Nothobranchius furzeri: one gene and its partners. The protein of the gene in region 1 purifies or fractionates together with the protein of each later gene. This does not show direct contact. Links are inferred from orthologs where the notes say so. Each region holds a gene or a part of one and is shown in the gene's direction. Other genes may lie near its edges. The genes, in order: nxf1a, nxt2, UAP56-interacting factor, srsf7a and ranbp2.

Region 1 (2,568 bases):
TGTTGTAATTCCTACACCGTTCACCTGACTTAGATGTAAATACCCTCAAATAAAAGCTGACAATCTGCAGTTAAAGCACTTCTTGTTCGTTTCATTTCATATCCATTGTGGTGGTGTATAGAGCCAAAAATGTTAGCATTGTCGATGTCACAATATTTATGGACCTGACTGTAAAGGCAGGTTCGGGTTCGGAGAGCGTGGCGCGCGCTCACCTCAAACCAGCAACACAAAATGAAAGGGCAGGATGAGCACATATGATCAATACCTGTATAAGAAAGACGGAAAACAGATGAGCGGAGAAAATAACTTATTTTGAAACATCGGGGGTGAAGTAACATTTCAGGAGCGAATAAGACGGGGCGTTCCCGTTTTGGAGTGGGCGTTCTCGTTCACAAACAGAAATGCCCCTTTTAGAGGCTGGCCGGATGATAATGAGCAGGCGGTGTGGCAGTTTGCCAGTTCTGTGTTTTCTTTTTTTTTTTTTTTTCTTTTTTTTTTTTATCTTACATGCTTCCTTATGTCATTTCCTCTGTGGCGAGTGCATCTTTAAAAAAGAGGCGCGTGACCTGATTAGGTGTGTCTGATTGCCCCCTCTGACAGTGAGAGGCAGAGACGCAGACAAGCGGAAGGAGGATTGATGGAGAGAAATAAGTCATTTTGAAAAAAGGGGAATATTTGTGAAAACGACAAAACGGAGGACAGACGAGAATGCCAATCCACAGCAGAGATTAAGAGGAGGACAGGATCGCAGTTTCGGTTGGATGCGCAGCTGTTTCACCCAGGTTCCTCTTCTGAGTTGGACCTCTGTACTTATGCTCTTCTGCGAGAACCACGAGACCCGTTGGGAGAAAGTCGGGTTCCGTGAGTTCAAAATAGAGTTTGACTGCGAGAGTGCCGCCGAGCGCAGAACGGTTACATTGGTAGCTTCCCTGTCACTGATGCGAATCAATAATTAATGAGGAGCAATAAGCTGCTGATTTGTTTGTTGTTGGTTGTGTGATGTCTCAATTTGAGTTGATCAAGTAATTTTAGTTTAGTGTCTCCTTTGAAGAAGGGTGTTTCTATGTTGCATTCTTTTTAGGGATTCTGCGTACATCAAGGTTAACTAATTGATGCAGTTGATCTTATATGTCAGGAGAGAGACCTGGCTGGCACCCCACTTCTTGATGTACAAATCCGTTACAGAGTGGCTCAGACGTTTTCGCAAACCCTGCAGTGTGACAGAATCTTTCACACATCTGAAAGTTTCCTCCTTCTACTAAGAGGATTTAAAACTCACTGACTGCTTCCTGTTTTTACAGTTTGTGCATTGTCAATGATCAGCTATTCGTCCGAATGGCGACGACAGAGGAGATTCGCCGTGCGTTTGTAGCTCCAGCACCAACCCCATCTTCCAGTCCTGTCCCAACACTAACAGCGCCCCAGCAAGAGATGCTCACGTCCTTCTCCCAGAAGTCGGGCATGAACCTGGAATGGTCACAGAAGTAAGGATCTTGTAATATTTTCTAATAATCAAATGTTTTACATGTAACCAAATGTGTCTCTAAAACCCTGTACTACTGTCATAGATGTCTGCTGGACAACGAGTGGGATTTCAACAGAGCTGCTCAGATATTCACACAGTTGAAGGTAATGGAACATCAAATCTTCCTTTTTTTGTTTTTCATCACACAGAAGAATAAAGCTAAACTAAGGCTTTGATGTTTTTTCCTTCTGTGTACAGGCGGATGGCAAGATCCCTGATGTGGCCTTCATAAAGTGAAGAATTCAACCTTTTTTGTGAAATAAAACCAGCTGTAATTTTATTTATAGCATGTTTTCTTTTATTCCTGCCCCTAATTTTACAGTCACAATATTCAGGTTTACTCATGTTAAATTTGTTTTAACAGCTAAAAGTCTTCTTTTGAGCTGCTGTCTTTGCTAGTTACACGTCACTCAGTAGTCTTTCTGTATAGATGATAGGAGACGTGTTCATAGAATACATACGTGATGGGCAATTGTTTAAAGTTGTTAATCTGGAATTTGTTAAATGTTAATAAAATATTTTTCGGAAAGCAGTTATTACATTTCACTTCATATTGAAAGAAAAACATGGAAAAGGCTGGGTAGTTTTATTAATGTTATGCTTATGTGGACAGAAAAGATACAGAATGGTATTAGAACTAAAATACAGGATTTAATGGTGCACACGTAATACCTTTCATAGATAAGGGAGTTATTTTTATTCTGCATAACCGGTGCATACACCATCCTATTTCCACATAACACATTGACTAGTTTACAGCAGCGTCAACTCCAGAAACCTGGGGGAATGCTGCTTCTCCTGGCACTCACAGAGCACAGTCGCTTCTGCTTTGCTCCCTTATCTGCTTTCCCAAGGCTCTTTTTGTCCTGTCTGCCTACAGAGCGCTTCTCTGCATTTCCTCTGGAAATCACTATTTTTCAGAAATTGATTTAATGAATTGGTCATTCAACGCGATTTAAGATTTTTTCTACGATGAGAACGGAGGTGGGGTCTCCCACTTGCCCTCACGGGACACACGCAGTGGGATATATGCTCGATTCCTG
Region 2 (3,949 bases), about 63 Mb from region 1:
AGGTCTAGTGTGTAGTCCCAGTTATTGTGACTGTGAGCAGCAAACTCTACCTCATATCGGTCTTTAGAGGCAGCATAGTGCAGAGGTGTGCATCCGTTCTGGTTGACAGAGTTCAGCTGAGCTCCTTTGCATATCAGATCCCTCACTATGTCTTCTCTGCCTGCAGATGCAGCGATGTGCAAAGGAGTCCAACAGGCCTGGGGAATGACCCAAAGCGCACGGTGTTAGTAAGATGTCACCTTTCTAAAACAGCTTAAACCAGGGGTGCCCAATCCTGGTTCTGGAGGACCGGTATCCAGCAAGTTTTGTGGTTTTTCTGCTCCCACACACTTGATTCAGTGGTTGAATCACCTGTGCAGCAGTTGATCAGGCTCTGCAGAAGCCTCCTAATTAAAGGTTAATCGCCTGCTGACGGAGATAAGGTGTGTTGAAACAGGGTTAAAACTTAAAAATGCTGGATAAAACCTCCAGGACCAGGATTGGGCACCCCTGGCTTAAACTAAAACCAACTCTTTAGTTTTATTTTAACATAGAATATGCATACATCATCTTGCACATTCACATCAACTCCCAGTTCAAGCAGAAACGCCACTATATTGGTGTGACCAGCCGAACAAGCCCAGTGTAGAGCGGTCCTGCCGTCCTGAAACCAGAGATTAACCAGGTCAGCTCATTTGGAAAAAACAAAAGAAAAAGTAATAACGCTGGAATTGCTAGTTCGTTTATTCTTACCTGATCCGTTTTGCTGGCAAGCGTTTTGTCTAGCATAACACACTGTCTTAGTCTCTCGTACTGACCGGTGTATGCTAAATTACAGACTTCCACGTTAGACACAGAACCCTCCATAGTCCAAAAATTAAATAAAACTTCAAGGTAATGTTTGAAATTGCTGCGTTCGCGAGCGCGATGACTCAGGAAATTGTGAGCTCTACATCCGCTTAGGTCATTTTTTTCTCTTCAAAATAAAACACAAGGACCAAATTGTTGCACTTTTTTCCTGTACATATTATTTATAGCATAATATAGCACCGTATTTTCCTATAATATTTTTTGTAAAACTATATAAAACACACACATTGTGATAAATAAACTTCATTGAATTCGACCAAAGGTTCATGCCTTTTATTTTGGTAGGTTCAAGTTTTGCTCTCAGGAAGTAAAACATGCTACAGGCCACATGCGTCGCTTACTAAACGAACAAAGGGAGAAAATATTGCAAGTTTTAATATTTTCATCTAAATTCTTACAATTTTCTGATTTGTATTGTGCAGCACTAGTCCATATGTACATGTAGACATGGCAAGTACCCTGGTAAGTTTATTACTTTAGTTACACGTGGCTTCTGTAGCCAAAAGCTCAGAAGCTAATCATGGTATGCTACTTTTCATTTTAAGCTCAAATAAATGCATTAGTTAAATTAAATGTATTTATTGCCTGATTATCACTTCAGGATTTCAGGACCCATGCCGACCAGTCGTGCAGGTATGCGGAGGAGTTTGTTAACATTTACTACGACTGCATGGACAAGAAAAGGAGGGTGAGCGTCTGAAAGTTGATTGTTTTTAAACACACTTGGTTTTCATTATTTTTATGAACATACAGGACCTTTCCAGATTTGATCACATATTTATAAACTTCTCTTTTGGAATGTAAGCTATAAAAACTGCTGTTCCACAGTTTCCTCACTAGGGAGCAGTGGTTTTAATCCAAACGTTTACTAGATTCCTGTTGTAACTATATTCAGGAAACACTTACGCTGTTTAAAATTTAAAAAGTTAAAATTAATATTTATGTACATTTCTGCAATTTATTTGAAAATTAATAACATGCATCGACACATGTACTCTTCTGTTATAATTTTTTTATTAGAATTTCTGATTACAGGTGACTCAAAATTCTTAAGAATGTTTGAATTTTTTGTGGCATGTCAAAATTTTTGAAAGTAATTGAATGAAAAAGGTTTCACTGAGATTTGTTGCACAACAATTGTTTACTTTCATTAGACAGGGAAGTGAAACAAGTGTTTCTGCTCTGTTCATGCAACGTAGTTACTGGAGGTTTTGAAGAGGTCTTGAAAATACTTGAGTCTGACATTAGAAATGTGTAAGAATCCTAGAGTTATTTTTCAATAAATTTAGCTTAAATTTTTTTTTAAATCCTCATTTTATGGGAGATTTAAACAAATCAAAACAAAATTTATATAGAAATTCATGAATACATTTATTTGACCCTTCAAATTGAATAAAAAAATTATATTCAATCATATATTATTATTATTGTTATTATTGTTGTTATTTAATTTTTTTGTAATCTATCTACAAAGGTTTTTATTATGTTGTAATGCGTTTGACATTTCCCTCCTAGATTTTATCTACTCTTTGGTTTCCATCTTTATCTTTATGTCGGCATTTTCTTTAACATTCCTGGCTCACTTTTATATCTCTGTGCGCCGTTACACTAATGAGCAGGACTTTGTTTTGTGATGTGGAATGGTTCTTATCGGGTGTCCATATTGATAAATGATAATGATAAATGACCCACACTTGTACAGCACCTTTCAGAGTCAGAAGACTCCAAAGAGCTTTGCACTTCAGTGTATCATTCATCCATTCACACACGGGTGGTGATGAGCTACAGTGTAGCCACAGCTGCCCTGGGGCACACTAACAGAGGGGAGGCTGCCAAGCACAGGTGCAACCAGTCCCACCAACCCCCACCAGCAGGCAAGATGGGTTAAGTGTATTGTCCAAGGACATCCTTCCATCCATTTTCAGCTGCTTATCCGAGGTCGGGTCACGGGGGTAGTAGCCTAAGCAGAGAAGCCCAGATTTCCCCCGCTCAGCTATTTGGGCCAGCTTCTCTGGGGCAATCCCAAGAAGCTCCCTGGCCAGCCATGAGACAAAGTCCTTCCAGCGTGTTCTGGGTCTTCTATTAGGTCTTCTTACGGCTGGACCTGCCCGGAAAACCTCACCAGAGAGGCGTCCAGGAGGCATCTTAACTAGATGCCCGAGCCACCTCAACTGGCTCCTCTTGATGTGGAGAAGCAGCGGGTCTACTCCGACCCCCTCCCGAATGACCGAGCTTCTCACCCTATCTCTAAGAAAGAGACCAGCCACCCAGCGGAGAAAACTTATTTTGGCCGCTTGTATCCACGATCTCATTCTTTTGGTCACTACCCAAAGCTCATGACCATATGTGAGGGTAGGAACGTAGATCGACCAGTAAATCGAGAGCTTTTCCTCTCTCTTCATCAGGACAGACCGGTACAACGCCCACAGTACTGTAGATGCAGCACCAATCCGCCTATCGATCTCCCACTCCATCTTTCCCTCACTCGTGAACAAGACCCCGAGATACTTAAACTCCTCCACTTGAGGCGAGACCTCATCCCTGACCTGGAGAAGGCATTCTACCCTTTTCTGGTCAAAAACCACGTCTCGGATTTAGACTAAAAAAACAAAACAGCAACTTAATTCTTCTTTGCCACCAGCTGATTGAGATAATGTCATTTTTTAAGAGTTAAACTGAAATAACTGCAGATGTCTAGACTATTTTATCTTTTACTAACAATCCGTAACAGCTGTGTTGCACACTGAAAGATAATACCCCCCCACCCCTCCAACACACACACACACACAGAGAAGCAACATTATGGACAAACAGGAACACATCATTCCACGTGTTGCAATTATATAGGCCGGATCTTTTCCTGTTCCACTTGCTAAACAACTTTAGAGCAACATTCCCAAAAGTGGTTAACTCCAGAGCTTGTGATGTTAAATTCATTAGATTGTTATAACATCCTCCGTTATTCATCTGTGTTTCTCAGCTCTTGTTCAAATAATCTGACTGGATGAGACTGTTGTCATTAATGGTTCTTGATCTGGGCTAAAGCTGAATCATACGTCATCAGTAATGTAGTTTATACTGTTATTTCCTATAAGATGAT
Region 3 (4,052 bases), on another chromosome or scaffold:
AACACCATCCTCCCTGCTCTGCTCCAGGACAAGCTCTCCATGCTCAACGTACCCAACTCCACCTGCAGGTGGATCACTGACTTCCTGACGGACCGAAGGCAGTGCGTGCGGCTGGGGAAGAATGTTTCCACCATTCAGACAATTAGCACAGGATCTCCACAGGGCTGTGTACTTTCTCCTCTGCTCTTCTCCCTGTACACAAACTGCTGCAGCTCGAGCCATGACTCCGTTAAACTGATCAAGTTTGCGGACGACACCACCCTCATCGGGCTCATCTCTGACGGTGACGAGTCTGCCTACAGGAGGGAGGTGGATCGGCTGGTGTGCTGGTGCAGCAGCAACAACCTGGAGCTCAATGCTCAGAAGACAGTGGAGACGATTGTGGACTTCAGGAAAGTCACAGCCCCATCTCTCCCACTCGTCCTGACGGACACCCCCGTCACCACTGTGGACTCCTTCCGCTTCCTCGGAACCACCATCACACATGACCTTAGGTGGGAGCCATCCATCAGCTCCCTGATCAAAAAGGCCCAGCAGAGGATGTACTTCTGCGGCAGTTGAAAAAGGCCAAGCTGCCGGCCCAGATGATGGTGCAGTTTTACACGGCCATCATTGAGTCCATCCTCACCTCCTCCATCGCTGTGTGGTACGCTGGAGCCACAGTGAGGGACAAACATAGACTGCAGCGCATTGTGCGCTCCGCTGAGAAGGTGATTGGCTGCAGCCTTCCATCTCTCCAGGACCTGTACGTCTCCAGAACTCGGGGGCGTGCAGGTCGGATAGCAGCTGACCCTTCTCACCCGGGTCACAGACTTTTCGAGCCGCTCCCCTCAGGCAGGAGGTTACGGTCCATCCGGACCAGAACCTCCCGCCATAAGAACAGCTTCTTTCCATCTGCCGTTAGACTTGTGAACAGCTTATAAACACACAACCATGCTGGTCTTCTGTACTCGACATAACGTCACGTTACCGGCCATGTTACCATTATTACCATTACCTGCCTTTTTTTATAGTTGAAAGTTTTATGCTAGTTTTATTATATTTTATTCTACTTTATTCTATTTCTGAAATTTATTATTCATGTTATATGTAGCACATTAGTACCGAAACAAGTTCCTAGTTTGTGAACTGCTTGTTCACTGACAATGGCAATAAACCTTTTTCTGATTGTGATCAGTACCGCAGGAGAGGATGGGTTGTGATCCACCCTCCAGGCCAGCAGGGGGCGCTAACGCTGCATGCGTTGTTTGTCTCCCGTCCAAGGGAAGAAGCAGCAGCTCCGGAGGCGTTTCAGCTGTTGTAGCGTTAGCCGACTTCTTAGTTACACCTGCTCATAAACCAAGGTGGTTTCCCAGAAGGCCGGACGACCATGGCAGCGCCTCCCGATAAAGTGGACATGTCGCTGGGTAAGGGTTTGTGTTTAATGGCGGGTCTCGCGCCGTTAGCTGCGCTGTTGTAGCAGGCGGACTGACCCGCTGCTGCTGTGCTAACTTTGACAGATGACATCATCCGCTTGAACAAAAAAGAGAGACAGTTCAAAAGGAGACAAGCCAACACGAACCGCCGACCGTTCAAGAAAAAGGGCCAAGGAAGAGCAGGTGAGTCCCGCCGTGACAGGTAGACTCCGGCCTACGCAGCATTCGTGTGACGTCACAAACATCCTCTCACCAGGAGGAGGAGGAGCCCCTAAGTTCAGAAGCAGAGGGGTTGCTTCCCTGCCGGGGCGATGGCGGGGTCAAGGGTTAATCACGGGGCTGGCGGCCAGGAGGCCAGCTGCCCTGCTGAAGCGGACCGGGACCCTGAACAGATCAGCAGGCAGCCAGGTAACGGCTGTCTGACCGTTGTCCCTTCATCACCATCTAACCTGCTAGGTTGTTGTCTCTCACCTTGTAGCCGATCCACCCTCCAGCCCAAGTCCACGTCGGTAATGTGGGAATCAGTTCGCTGGGACAAGAACCTTGATTTCATCCTGGAACCTCGGGTAGGAATCGACAAGTGAACTAATCATACTTCAGCTATGAGGAAGCTGATCTAGAGAACCAAGATGTTGTTTCTCCAGTCGGTCTGCACTCTGACCTCGTTCAAGTCCTGGAAATTCACTGGAAGCAGCGGAAAGGAACTCCCTCCGAGAGGTGGAGCGTCCCACCCTCAGGGATGTCCATTCAGCTGCTCGAGTTGGGTCTGACCTCTAACGAGAGCATCTTCTGAGGGAGGAGGCCCGGATCTGCCTCGCCTCCGATCATCAGACATCTTCTGTGCTGTCAGAATCCAGCCACGCTTTTTATCATGTGATGACTCGACCTAATGACGAAGATCTGTTGTTACAGAAGCTGAGACCGAGGCGCTCGGAGGCTCAGAGACGGCTGTACCGGCAGCCCGATCCACTCAGAGGCCAGAACTCCACATCCACCAGGAGACCCTTCCAGCTGCGCGGACGGTGAGCGAGTCCCACTAGTTTACTTTGTGACGTCCGATCGGCTTTATTTTATTCTACAACAGGGCTGGTTTGGATTTCTGCTTTCTCAGGCCGCCGCCCCCTGTCCAGCAGACGCAGAGGGAGGCCCGCCAGGCCATGTTTCTGTTTAACAGAGGCCTCAAGGTACTTGCTGCCAGCTCAGCTGTTGCATCCTCCATCCATCAGCTGACACGCGTCACTCTCCTCCTCAGGTTCAAGCTCAGGTCCGGAGGCCAAACCCCCACGCCCCCCCGACACAAGCGAGACAGTGAGCACAGCAGGGCTTCCGTTTCAGGTGACCTCATACCTGCCTCCATCAGGAAGGTCTAAGTGTGTCTGTTTGTCCACCAGGTGGCGGACTTCAACAACCAGCGATGGAATCCTGACCGTTTCTATCGACAACCCGTCAGCCAGGACTCAGCCGGAGTGAGCGTCGGCCCGGTCCAGCACACGCAGCACGTAGAAGGTTCTGGTGGGTAGGGTGGGTTTCAGCTTGTGTGTGGATCGTGTTTACAGGCCTCCCACTGCGTGGACTCTGTACCCCCCACCCGTCAACCCAGCTCCTGTGAAAGAGGAAACGGTGGAGAAGAAGATCCCAAAAGGAGTTCCTCTTCAGTTTGACATCAACAGTGTCGGCAAACCGGTGAGAGCGGCACCTTCCAGCTGCTGCTGCTGGTGGTGGATCTGCACGGTTAACATGTGGCCTCTGACTTCCCTCCTCAGCAAACGTCCATGACCCTGAACGAGCGTTTCCGGATCCTGAAAGGTCAGCGCACTGCGGCGGCGCAGAGCGGCAAAGGCAGCAGATTTGTTACCGTGGGCTAGCGGGTGGGGCGGAGCCACCCAGCGCCGCCGTCTCACCAGACGAGTCCTACCGTTTGTTGTGTTCAGACTGTCGTGTCGTGGATATCCAGTACTGGGATCTCGTGTTTTAAGTTTGGGACTTGAAACTGTTAAAACCGTGAACACTTTCCTTCCAGACGACTGTGTTTGCTACAATAGCACGTGTGTGTGTGTGTGTGCAGCGCATTTTTCAGATGACTCGTTTTGTAATTTCTTCAAATAAATGAGTTTCTCTAACTTTGTAACCATGTTGCGTCTATGGGAGGAATCTCACGTGTTTGTAGCTGCAGCTTCACACCCCGGTCTGGATTCAGAGCCCTACAGGCTCCATGAGCAGCAACAGCTACATTTGATCTTGTAGAGCGCACACACACACGCACGCACGCATAAACACACACACACAGGCACCCATGCATGCACACATACACACACACGCATGCATGCACACATACGCACACCCATGTGTGCGTATGTGTGCATGCATGCACGCATAAACACAGACACACATGCATACACACATACACACACAGGCACCCATGCATGCACGCACGCATGCATAAACACAGACACACACAGCATGCACACATACACACACACAGGCACCCATGCATGCACACATACACACACACGCATGCATGCACACATGCACGCATAAACACAGACACACATGCATACACACATACACACACAGGCACCCATGCATGCACGCACGCATGCATAAACACAGACACACACAGCATGCACACATACACAC
Region 4 (4,110 bases), on another chromosome or scaffold:
CTCTTGTTAGAGATGATCAGCACCAGCTGGGACAGATGTATCACCTCCAATCTGCACTCCAGCCAGATGTGACCCGGATTTGGCTCAAGCAGCCAGAAACAGAACTGTCCTGATGCAACATCCCGACAATGTTCCGTGTTTCCATGAAGTTCTGTACTAACTGTCGGCTTCGGCCTTTGCTGTTCTGTACTTAGATGTGATTCCCCTCCCATCCAGCCTCACAGACTCCTCCTAGTGTGTGTCTGTGTTTTTTTCCTTCCTTTCTGTGTTCCTCTGCACATGCATGACAAATTCCCGTGTTCGTGTCTTAGCAGCATGGTCTACTCTGATAGAATTCCTACATTTGAAATACAAATGTCTCTCTGAGATACAACATTCAAAAACACAACCACACATCTGTCTGCTGCTATCTCCTGCTAAGCAGCATCCATTTTTAATAACATTTTTTGAACCAACGATATTTCTGTGTCTGTGTTGTAAATGTTCACCCTCTTATCCCCACCTCCCTGCTCCCTCCCAGGTCTTGCTCTTCAGTGTCTTTCTGTGAAGTTGTTTCCTGTGATGATGACATTTTCTCTCTGCTTGAACCTTTGTAGGGAAACAATGAAGGAGTTATTACAATATCATGTGATAGACATATACATTTATTCAATGCTCTAATAAATTAACTAAAGTTTTGTATGAAATGCAAAGAAAAAAAACTTTAGAAAAAAGTAGTTTTGGAACATATGGCATGAGATGTAATGTGTTACTGACAGAAAAAGAAGGTCTTTAATCAACTAAAGTTGACCTTAGTTAAATATAGTTTATTTATTTTAAAAGTATGATGTGTCTGTCTTCATTTTCTACCTTAAATGATCAAATAATTAGCATGTTTTAACCCTCTCAGGCTCAAAATAAGTTTAGATAAAAGGACGAATAACTAAGTCCTTCGGGTACTTCTGAATTAAAAAAATGCTCATGAAATAGGTATGTAGAGTGACCAGGTAGGTTTTAACGTTGCAAATCTGCAACGCCTGCCTCCAGAGGGTCAAATAAGACATTATTTTAAAGTATATTTGTTAAGGAAATGTTAATGAGCCATTCTTATAGTGAATTAATATTTTCATTATATAAATTAGCCATAATATCAGACAGTGCCATGACATTTTACCAAATGTATTGGTTATTAATTAAAATTATTATCAATCCTTGAAGGATTGCATATCACCAATTGCATTTTAATTATGGATTTGAAGCTAAATATTTTTGGGGAAATTAGGTAAGTAGCCAATTTCCTATTATGTATAAAATAATGTAATTTGCCATTGCTATCATGAAATTATTCTCAGCTACTGCCAGGTGAAAGTATATGTAAACTGACTGAATTATAACCATCCTTCTGTTTGTTGGGGTCAATTAGCTGTGGAAACCATCTTAAATTGGTGGGCCCCTAAGTTTAATCAGTTGCAGATGCAGATGATGGCTACATTATTTATAGATCACTAGATATTTTGTAATGCTTTCCAGAGAGTGCAAGCCTTAGCTGGTTTTTATAGTGTTTGTAATAATAAAATAAATAAAGAATTAAGTAAATAAGTAAATAATAATAATAATAATAAAGTGTGGACATTTATCCATGTTTCTTAGTAAACATAAATTTGCCCCCAAAATGTAAACTCATTTTGAACATCAAGTGTTGCAAATTATTTCCTTGTGTTTTCAATCTATTTGTTTCAATTTATTTATGTTGTATCGTGTTATTATGTTCAAAATAAATAAATAAATAAATAAATAAATAAATAAATAAATAAATAAATAAATAAATAAATAAATTTTACAATTTTCCTACCGAACAGAGAAGCGCTTGGCAGCAGGCCATATTTTGTTACACCGCATTCCGCCTGGGGGCGGTAGTGCGTCATTCCATTAAGCTTGTCTGATACAAGAGGAAGAAGGAAACGCGTCGCTGCTCGTCGGTAGCCTTGGTAAGTGAAGTAATTTAAGAGCTAAGAAAAAAAATCATGTTATTTGTGTGAACGAGAAGTCCTTTCGAATCATTGTTTTCCCGCTTAACGTGACTGCGAAATGTTGGTTGAGACAGCTGGAGGTAATCTTTGAAACGGATTTTTAATATAAAAAAATGAGCAGAGGAAGTTGAGGCCTACTAGCGCGTGCTACCGCCATTGTTAATGAGCCAGGGCCTCGACTAATTTCTGGATTTTACCGTTTACTTCGTCAACGTGCGTTGTGTCATTGATTTTTTTAATTTATTTTACTGTAATCTCCATTTAATTTGTTCTAGAGTTTCATTTTATGTTGGTGAATTAGACTAGGCAAGGCTTCCACACAAACAGGAATCCGCATTGCACCTGAAGCTGAAAGTATCCTCCTTACGCAGGTATTGTAAACCTGTCGCATCTGACAAACATTGACACGGTGAAATTGCTAATAGCCGTCAAGAACATTCGACATGAATGTCAGTGGCATGAACAGTTAAATTTAGAGACTGTAGGGGAGATCGTATTTTAGTGGGGCTCATAGACATGATGCTGATGCACCAATCGAGGCTTGTGTTTTTCAAAACACTAATTATTTATTTAGGCACACGGATAGGCTTACTGGCAAACATCATAAATAACCTTCTGTTTTAGTCGAGGAAAGGTTGATTGAGATTTCTGTGCATCTCTTATATAAAAATTTGGTTAATGTAATTGTGTGTGTGTGTTTGTGTGTGTGCGTGTGTGTGTGCGTGTGCGCTTTGAAGAACCTAATGTACAGCTTGCTTGTATTTTTAGGACTCATTAAATATTAGGCAGGGGTGGACATTAACTTCAAAACCAACCGGCCAGCCGGGCCGGTAACTCTGAATATTTACCGGCCCCACCAAGAATCTACCGGCCCCACTGGTCAGCTGCCAAAACAAGTCAAAATAAAAACGGAACCGTTTTAAATGTAATAAACCTTTATTTTGTACACATTCACAAACATAATAACGTATTCAAGTTTGAATTTGTTTGTTCCCTCAACAAAACACGATTTTGTCGTCGCATACTTCCGGCATACAACGCAGTACATCACCAACTCCGCTTTGCTGTATTCGAGCCATTGACTGTGTTCGAGATGAGCCAGTTCTGCGCAGGTTAGACCAGCGGTGATCGGCGAGCAGTGCATGCCGGTTAGATTTGTGTCCGAATTGACGCCGACTTGCTCTGACGTCATGCATACGTAGGCATCGATAACCTCGTGAGATCAAGGCGGCCACAGATTTTGGAGCAAGGCGCTGCAGTTGCTCTCCCTCGGCTGCAAAACCTAGAGGATGACGGAAACGCCTGGCTCTCACCTGATCTAAGATCTGATTGGTTCATATTTTGATCCAAACATCCGGTGGTAGAACATGAAATGTTAGTTGGTCACATGTATTCTGTAAATCATGTTACGCTGATAATAACAACAATATAGGCCATAAAGAGAAATGTGTTTTGTTTTCTTTTGTCACGTTTCCTATGAGCACACTAAACCTACAGCTGCTAACCTTTACTTATTATTACACTCATGTCTTCATATACAATATATGATATCCACAAGCACGTGAGGATGTGTTTCAGCTGCTAACAGGCACCAGAATTAAAATTGAAAATTGAACAAGTGTGAATGCTAACGCGATATCTTCATCCATCGTCACCCCCGAGCTACACATGTAGGAAAATCCAAGAGATTCAACTGGCAGAAACAACTGGTTCACACCATAGTCTCTCTCTCTCCTCTCCTCTCCCTCTCTCTCCTCTCTCCCTCTCTCTCCTCTCCTCTCCCTCTCTCTCCACTCACTCACTCACTCACTCACAGGTAGAGGAAAAGAGCTGAGGAAATTGAGGACACCAGGTAGTTAAAAGAAAATCCACAGCGGAGCCGAGGCGCGCCTCGAATGGGGCGCGTCTGATTTGAACTGAGGAGCGGCGAGCAGCGGCCGGACTTCGTGAGCGATTCGCTTCGGGCGCTTCCGCGGCCGGTGTGTCCCCGGCAAAACGCCGTCTTTCAGCCACTCCCCCTGCTTCTTCCGTCTGCTCTCGTATGTTTTCCAGGCGAGGCGCTGCTCAACTCGAACACGGCCATTCTCTGCGCCTCCCGTCT
Region 5 (3,517 bases), on another chromosome or scaffold:
AAAGTACAGAATACCAGAGAACATGCGCTGATATGAATTATTTTGTTTTAGTGGAGCGATTTTGTGAATGTTGCAGCGGCCGCGTGCAGGACGCCGCTGGAGTATTTGAGCCATTACCGCGGCGTCCTCTCTGCCCGCAAAGCTGAGTCCATAAATGACGTAATATATGCAGATACTGGATCTTTCTTCGGGTTTCCCGCGATTTGAATTTTTAGGAAACCCACATCTGGATTCTGGGTTTAAAAATGCATTGTAATTACTGCGTTACTGACAATTGTACCGAGTAAATATTACCATTTTCTTTCCCTGTAATGCCTTACATTACCACATTACAGCAAAAACCAATGCATTACAGTAATTAATTACTTTTGTACCGCATTACTCCCAACACTGGCCAACACTAGCATAAGCCAGCTAATACTAAAATAAACTACCAAGTAAAAAGATCCACAATGTTAAGTATTATTACTTCCAAGTCCTAGATTTTTTCTCCTTCATTGTGGATTAGATGAAAGGAAGGGAATAAACTGATGTGAATTGGAAGCAGCCAGAGTGTTTGACGTACAAAGCTGAAGTTGAGAGAAACTCCCTCAGAGCAGAGATAGAAGCTGCTAACTGAGGCAAAATGTTTCACATAAAAACGTGGCTGGTTAAATGTTTGAGTGGCTGGTAGAAAAGTTTTCATTTCCACCTCTGCTCAAGAACCACCGAAACTAACCGCTTCTGTTTTGGAACTGGGTTGTTGGTCATGTGCAGTCATTTATATATTTATTTTAATAGTACTAATTTGTATTTTACTGTCAGATGAGGACTTTGAGTCAGCAGTTAAAGCCTTGAATGGAAAGCTCTACCTAGATCCTCCTGAGGCAGCAGCTTGTCATGAAGGTAAGTCTAACTCAGTCAAGTCAGCATCTACATAACATTTATCATTGCTTTGATTCATTAGAACAGTTTATTGAATATAATAAATATGAATTAACCACATTAACTATGTGCTCTGCTGCAGTAATGGTGGTGCTTCTTCTGAGCAAGTCATGCTGTCACACCGTCGATGTGTCACACTAATCTTGTGAGTTCTGCTTTCAGAGCCAGACTGTCAGATTGTGTGGGAGAAGAAACCAACACCAGAGGAGGAGGAGAAGGCCAAAAGCCTCCAGCTCCCACCCACATTCTTCTGCGGCCTGAGCACCACAGATAGTGACCCAGACAGCGACAAGCCTGAAGACTTTGAGACAGAAGTCCACAAAGCACACAAAGACCTGGTAACTAACTCAGTGGGGGTGGAGTTTAGTTCACTTATTGAGGGGGGTGTTTACCAACATGCGTTTACATGATCAGCTATATGTGGAGCTGTTTGTAGAAAAAGGCTTAAGTCTGTTCTGTCAGGTTGGTGGTGGGTTTGGATGGTAGGATCTGCTCAGGTAATCATGATGCTGCAGCTAGTCAGTCAAGGCTTCTGTTTTTCAGGAATACCAGTCATTTTCTACAGGCATACACACATAATACACCGGGAAGGATGTAGTCATAAAATAACGTGGGTTTAATTTAATCAGGTGGCCCAGTTAAAGGGAGCTGAGCCGGCATCCAGCAGTTCTGTAGAGGCCCCAGAGAACCCAGCCTCAGCACCACCATCCAACAGTGCAGAGGCTTCAAGCATGTCGACATCCGATGGTCTAACTTCAGTCAAAACAGACACTAGGAGCGAAACGCCCAGCTGCAGCTTCCCGATTGACCTGTCCACTAAGAAGAACCCAGAGACTAAAACAGGACCTGATTCTTCAGCTTTAGCTGTCACAACTACTGGTCAAGGTACAGAAGGTGCTTAGGACTGATGTTCACGTATGTAGTTAACAGTAGTGGATGTTCCGATCACGTTTTTATGCTTCTGATTCAGAGGCATTTGATTTTCAGAGTCTGCCAATACCGAGTCCCGATCCGATACTTTAGAAATGCATTAAGAAAAGAGAACACACTAGAGTTGTCCTTTAGGTGTTTTCTATCATTAATGCGTTTATTTCTGTATTCGTCATTTCTTTAGTCATTTGTCATAAAACGTCAAGCTCCATTCCTTCAAAGGTCTTGGAGAAAGCTGTTCATTCACAGATTACGGCCAATATGGAGGACAATGCACTGTTAAATAAGTTTCAGTCTGCATTCAGACTAGGGATGCAACGATACCACTTTTTTCCAAACCGATACGATACCGATACTTGGATCTGAGTACTCACCGATACCGATAACCGATGCAGATACTTCTACCACACCAAAAAATGCAATGAATTAGAATACAGGTTTTATTTTCTTCTCTGTTTTCAACAGGAAAAGACTGTGAGGTAGATAAAAAGTAATATAAGTGATCACAAAACTAAAATATTAGATGAACAAAAATGACAAGTTACAGGGAAGTCACTTTCAAGCAACTGCATTGGTATCAGTTACTGGTATCTGTTAACTTTTACCGATACCAATATCTGTATCGGCACAGATACCAGTATCGTAATTTTGCATGCCTAATTCAGACCACATCACAGCGCCGAGTCTGCTTTGATTCATGTACTTGGTAGCATCCGACTCAGGAGTCCCACATTCTGCTGCTGTTGCTGGACCTCTCAGCAGCTTTTGATACAGTCGACCATCAAATCCTGCTAAATTATCTAAAATGCTGGGTCGGTCTTTTGGGTCCAGCCCTGGGTTGGTTCCGTTCCTATCTGGCAAATGGGTCTTTTTTGTGTGTGTGTATGGGTGACTGTGCCTCTCCCTGCCTTCTGTTGACCTGGGGGGAGCTGCAGGGTTCTGTCCTGGGGGCTCATTCTGTTCTCCATCTATCTTCTCCCTTTGGGACAGATTTTAAAATGGTACAGCATAGGCTACCATAGCTACGCAGATGACTTTCAGATATACTCGGCAATGAATGGACAAAACTAGGGCTGCACGATATTAGAAAAAGCTGCGATGTGCGATAACAGTGATTAATATTGCGATGACAGTATTACTTGCGATAAATTAAAACTTAACTGTGGAACAAAAATGATCAAAAACAAAGAAATAAAAAAAATAAATAAATAAAAATGAGAAAAGCAAAAGGTGTCAAGAAAGGGAAAAAGAAAATGAACAAGAAAAGGCAATCAGTGGATCCCGGGAAAAGCAGAATCAGCAGAAAGAGCAGAACAAAGCTAACTCGGGTGTTTGCTAACCATCAAAATTAAGTGTCGGGGGCGGGCATTTAACCTATGAGAACCCACCCAGTTGGCCAAATGGATGAAGAGCTCTATTTGATTTGTTAAAAAAGCATCATGCTTCCATTTGATTGACAGAATGCGTCATGTGTAGCAAACATTTGAGCTGACCGTTCATTGCGATATTTATCTGTTCTTTGTGATATGCATATTGCGCATGTTGATATCGCGATAATGATATATTTGCGATATATTGTGCAGCCCTAGACAAAACACAGATTTATTACTCAAGAATGGTCTCTGATGTGAAGAGGTGGCTGGCAGCCAATTTCCTTAAACTT

The links.
Region 2: the proteins of nxf1a (region 1) and nxt2 purify together in Homo sapiens (co-immunoprecipitation; 5 studies listed by BioGRID and IntAct, counting the BioPlex papers as one, with this or other methods). This does not show direct contact. The link is inferred for Nothobranchius furzeri from reciprocal best matches to the Homo sapiens genes NXF1 and NXT2.
Region 3: the proteins of nxf1a (region 1) and UAP56-interacting factor purify together in Homo sapiens (affinity purification with western blotting; 3 studies listed by BioGRID and IntAct, with this or other methods). This does not show direct contact. The link is inferred for Nothobranchius furzeri from reciprocal best matches to the Homo sapiens genes NXF1 and FYTTD1.
Region 4: the proteins of nxf1a (region 1) and srsf7a purify together in Homo sapiens (affinity purification with western blotting; 3 studies listed by BioGRID and IntAct, with this or other methods). This does not show direct contact. The link is inferred for Nothobranchius furzeri from reciprocal best matches to the Homo sapiens genes NXF1 and SRSF7.
Region 5: the proteins of nxf1a (region 1) and ranbp2 purify together in Homo sapiens (co-immunoprecipitation; 5 studies listed by BioGRID and IntAct, with this or other methods). This does not show direct contact. The link is inferred for Nothobranchius furzeri from reciprocal best matches to the Homo sapiens genes NXF1 and RANBP2.

What each region holds. Positions count from the first base shown.
Region 1 is NC_091741.1:88,110,462-88,113,029, reverse strand, and holds the end of nxf1a (nuclear RNA export factor 1), read left to right. Parts: intron 1-1,301; coding exon 1,302-1,484; intron 1,485-1,568; coding exon 1,569-1,629; intron 1,630-1,723; coding exon 1,724-1,762; 3' UTR 1,763-2,057; downstream 2,058-2,568.
Region 2 is NC_091741.1:25,497,697-25,501,645, reverse strand, and holds the start of nxt2 (NTF2-related export protein 2), read left to right. Parts: upstream 1-1,146; 5' UTR 1,147-1,296; coding exon 1,297-1,311; intron 1,312-1,450; coding exon 1,451-1,537; intron 1,538-3,949. Other genes in the region: psmd10 (26S proteasome non-ATPase regulatory subunit 10), read right to left, coding at 51-197, 545-643, 733-846. UniProt on the Homo sapiens protein: Regulator of protein export for NES-containing proteins. Also plays a role in mRNA nuclear export.
Region 3 is NC_091751.1:69,956,039-69,960,090, forward strand, and holds UAP56-interacting factor, read left to right. Parts: upstream 1-1,237; 5' UTR 1,238-1,369; coding exon 1,370-1,406; intron 1,407-1,499; coding exon 1,500-1,598; intron 1,599-1,671; coding exon 1,672-1,823; intron 1,824-2,327; coding exon 2,328-2,437; intron 2,438-2,499; coding exon 2,500-2,599; intron 2,600-2,667; coding exon 2,668-2,723; intron 2,724-2,806; coding exon 2,807-2,881; intron 2,882-2,971; coding exon 2,972-3,098; intron 3,099-3,178; coding exon 3,179-3,280; 3' UTR 3,281-3,543; downstream 3,544-4,052. UniProt on the Homo sapiens protein: Required for mRNA export from the nucleus to the cytoplasm. Acts as an adapter that uses the DDX39B/UAP56-NFX1 pathway to ensure efficient mRNA export and delivering to the nuclear pore.
Region 4 is NC_091753.1:46,881,482-46,885,591, reverse strand, and holds the start of srsf7a (serine and arginine rich splicing factor 7a), read left to right. Parts: upstream 1-1,301; 5' UTR 1,302-1,967; intron 1,968-1,983; exon of another isoform or gene 1,984-2,089; intron 2,090-4,110.
Region 5 is NC_091747.1:23,235,799-23,239,315, forward strand, and holds part of ranbp2 (E3 SUMO-protein ligase RanBP2), read left to right. Parts: intron 1-804; coding exon 805-885; intron 886-1,086; coding exon 1,087-1,262; intron 1,263-1,553; coding exon 1,554-1,818; intron 1,819-3,517. UniProt on the Homo sapiens protein: E3 SUMO-protein ligase which facilitates SUMO1 and SUMO2 conjugation by UBE2I. Involved in transport factor (Ran-GTP, karyopherin)-mediated protein import via the F-G repeat-containing domain which acts as a docking site for substrates.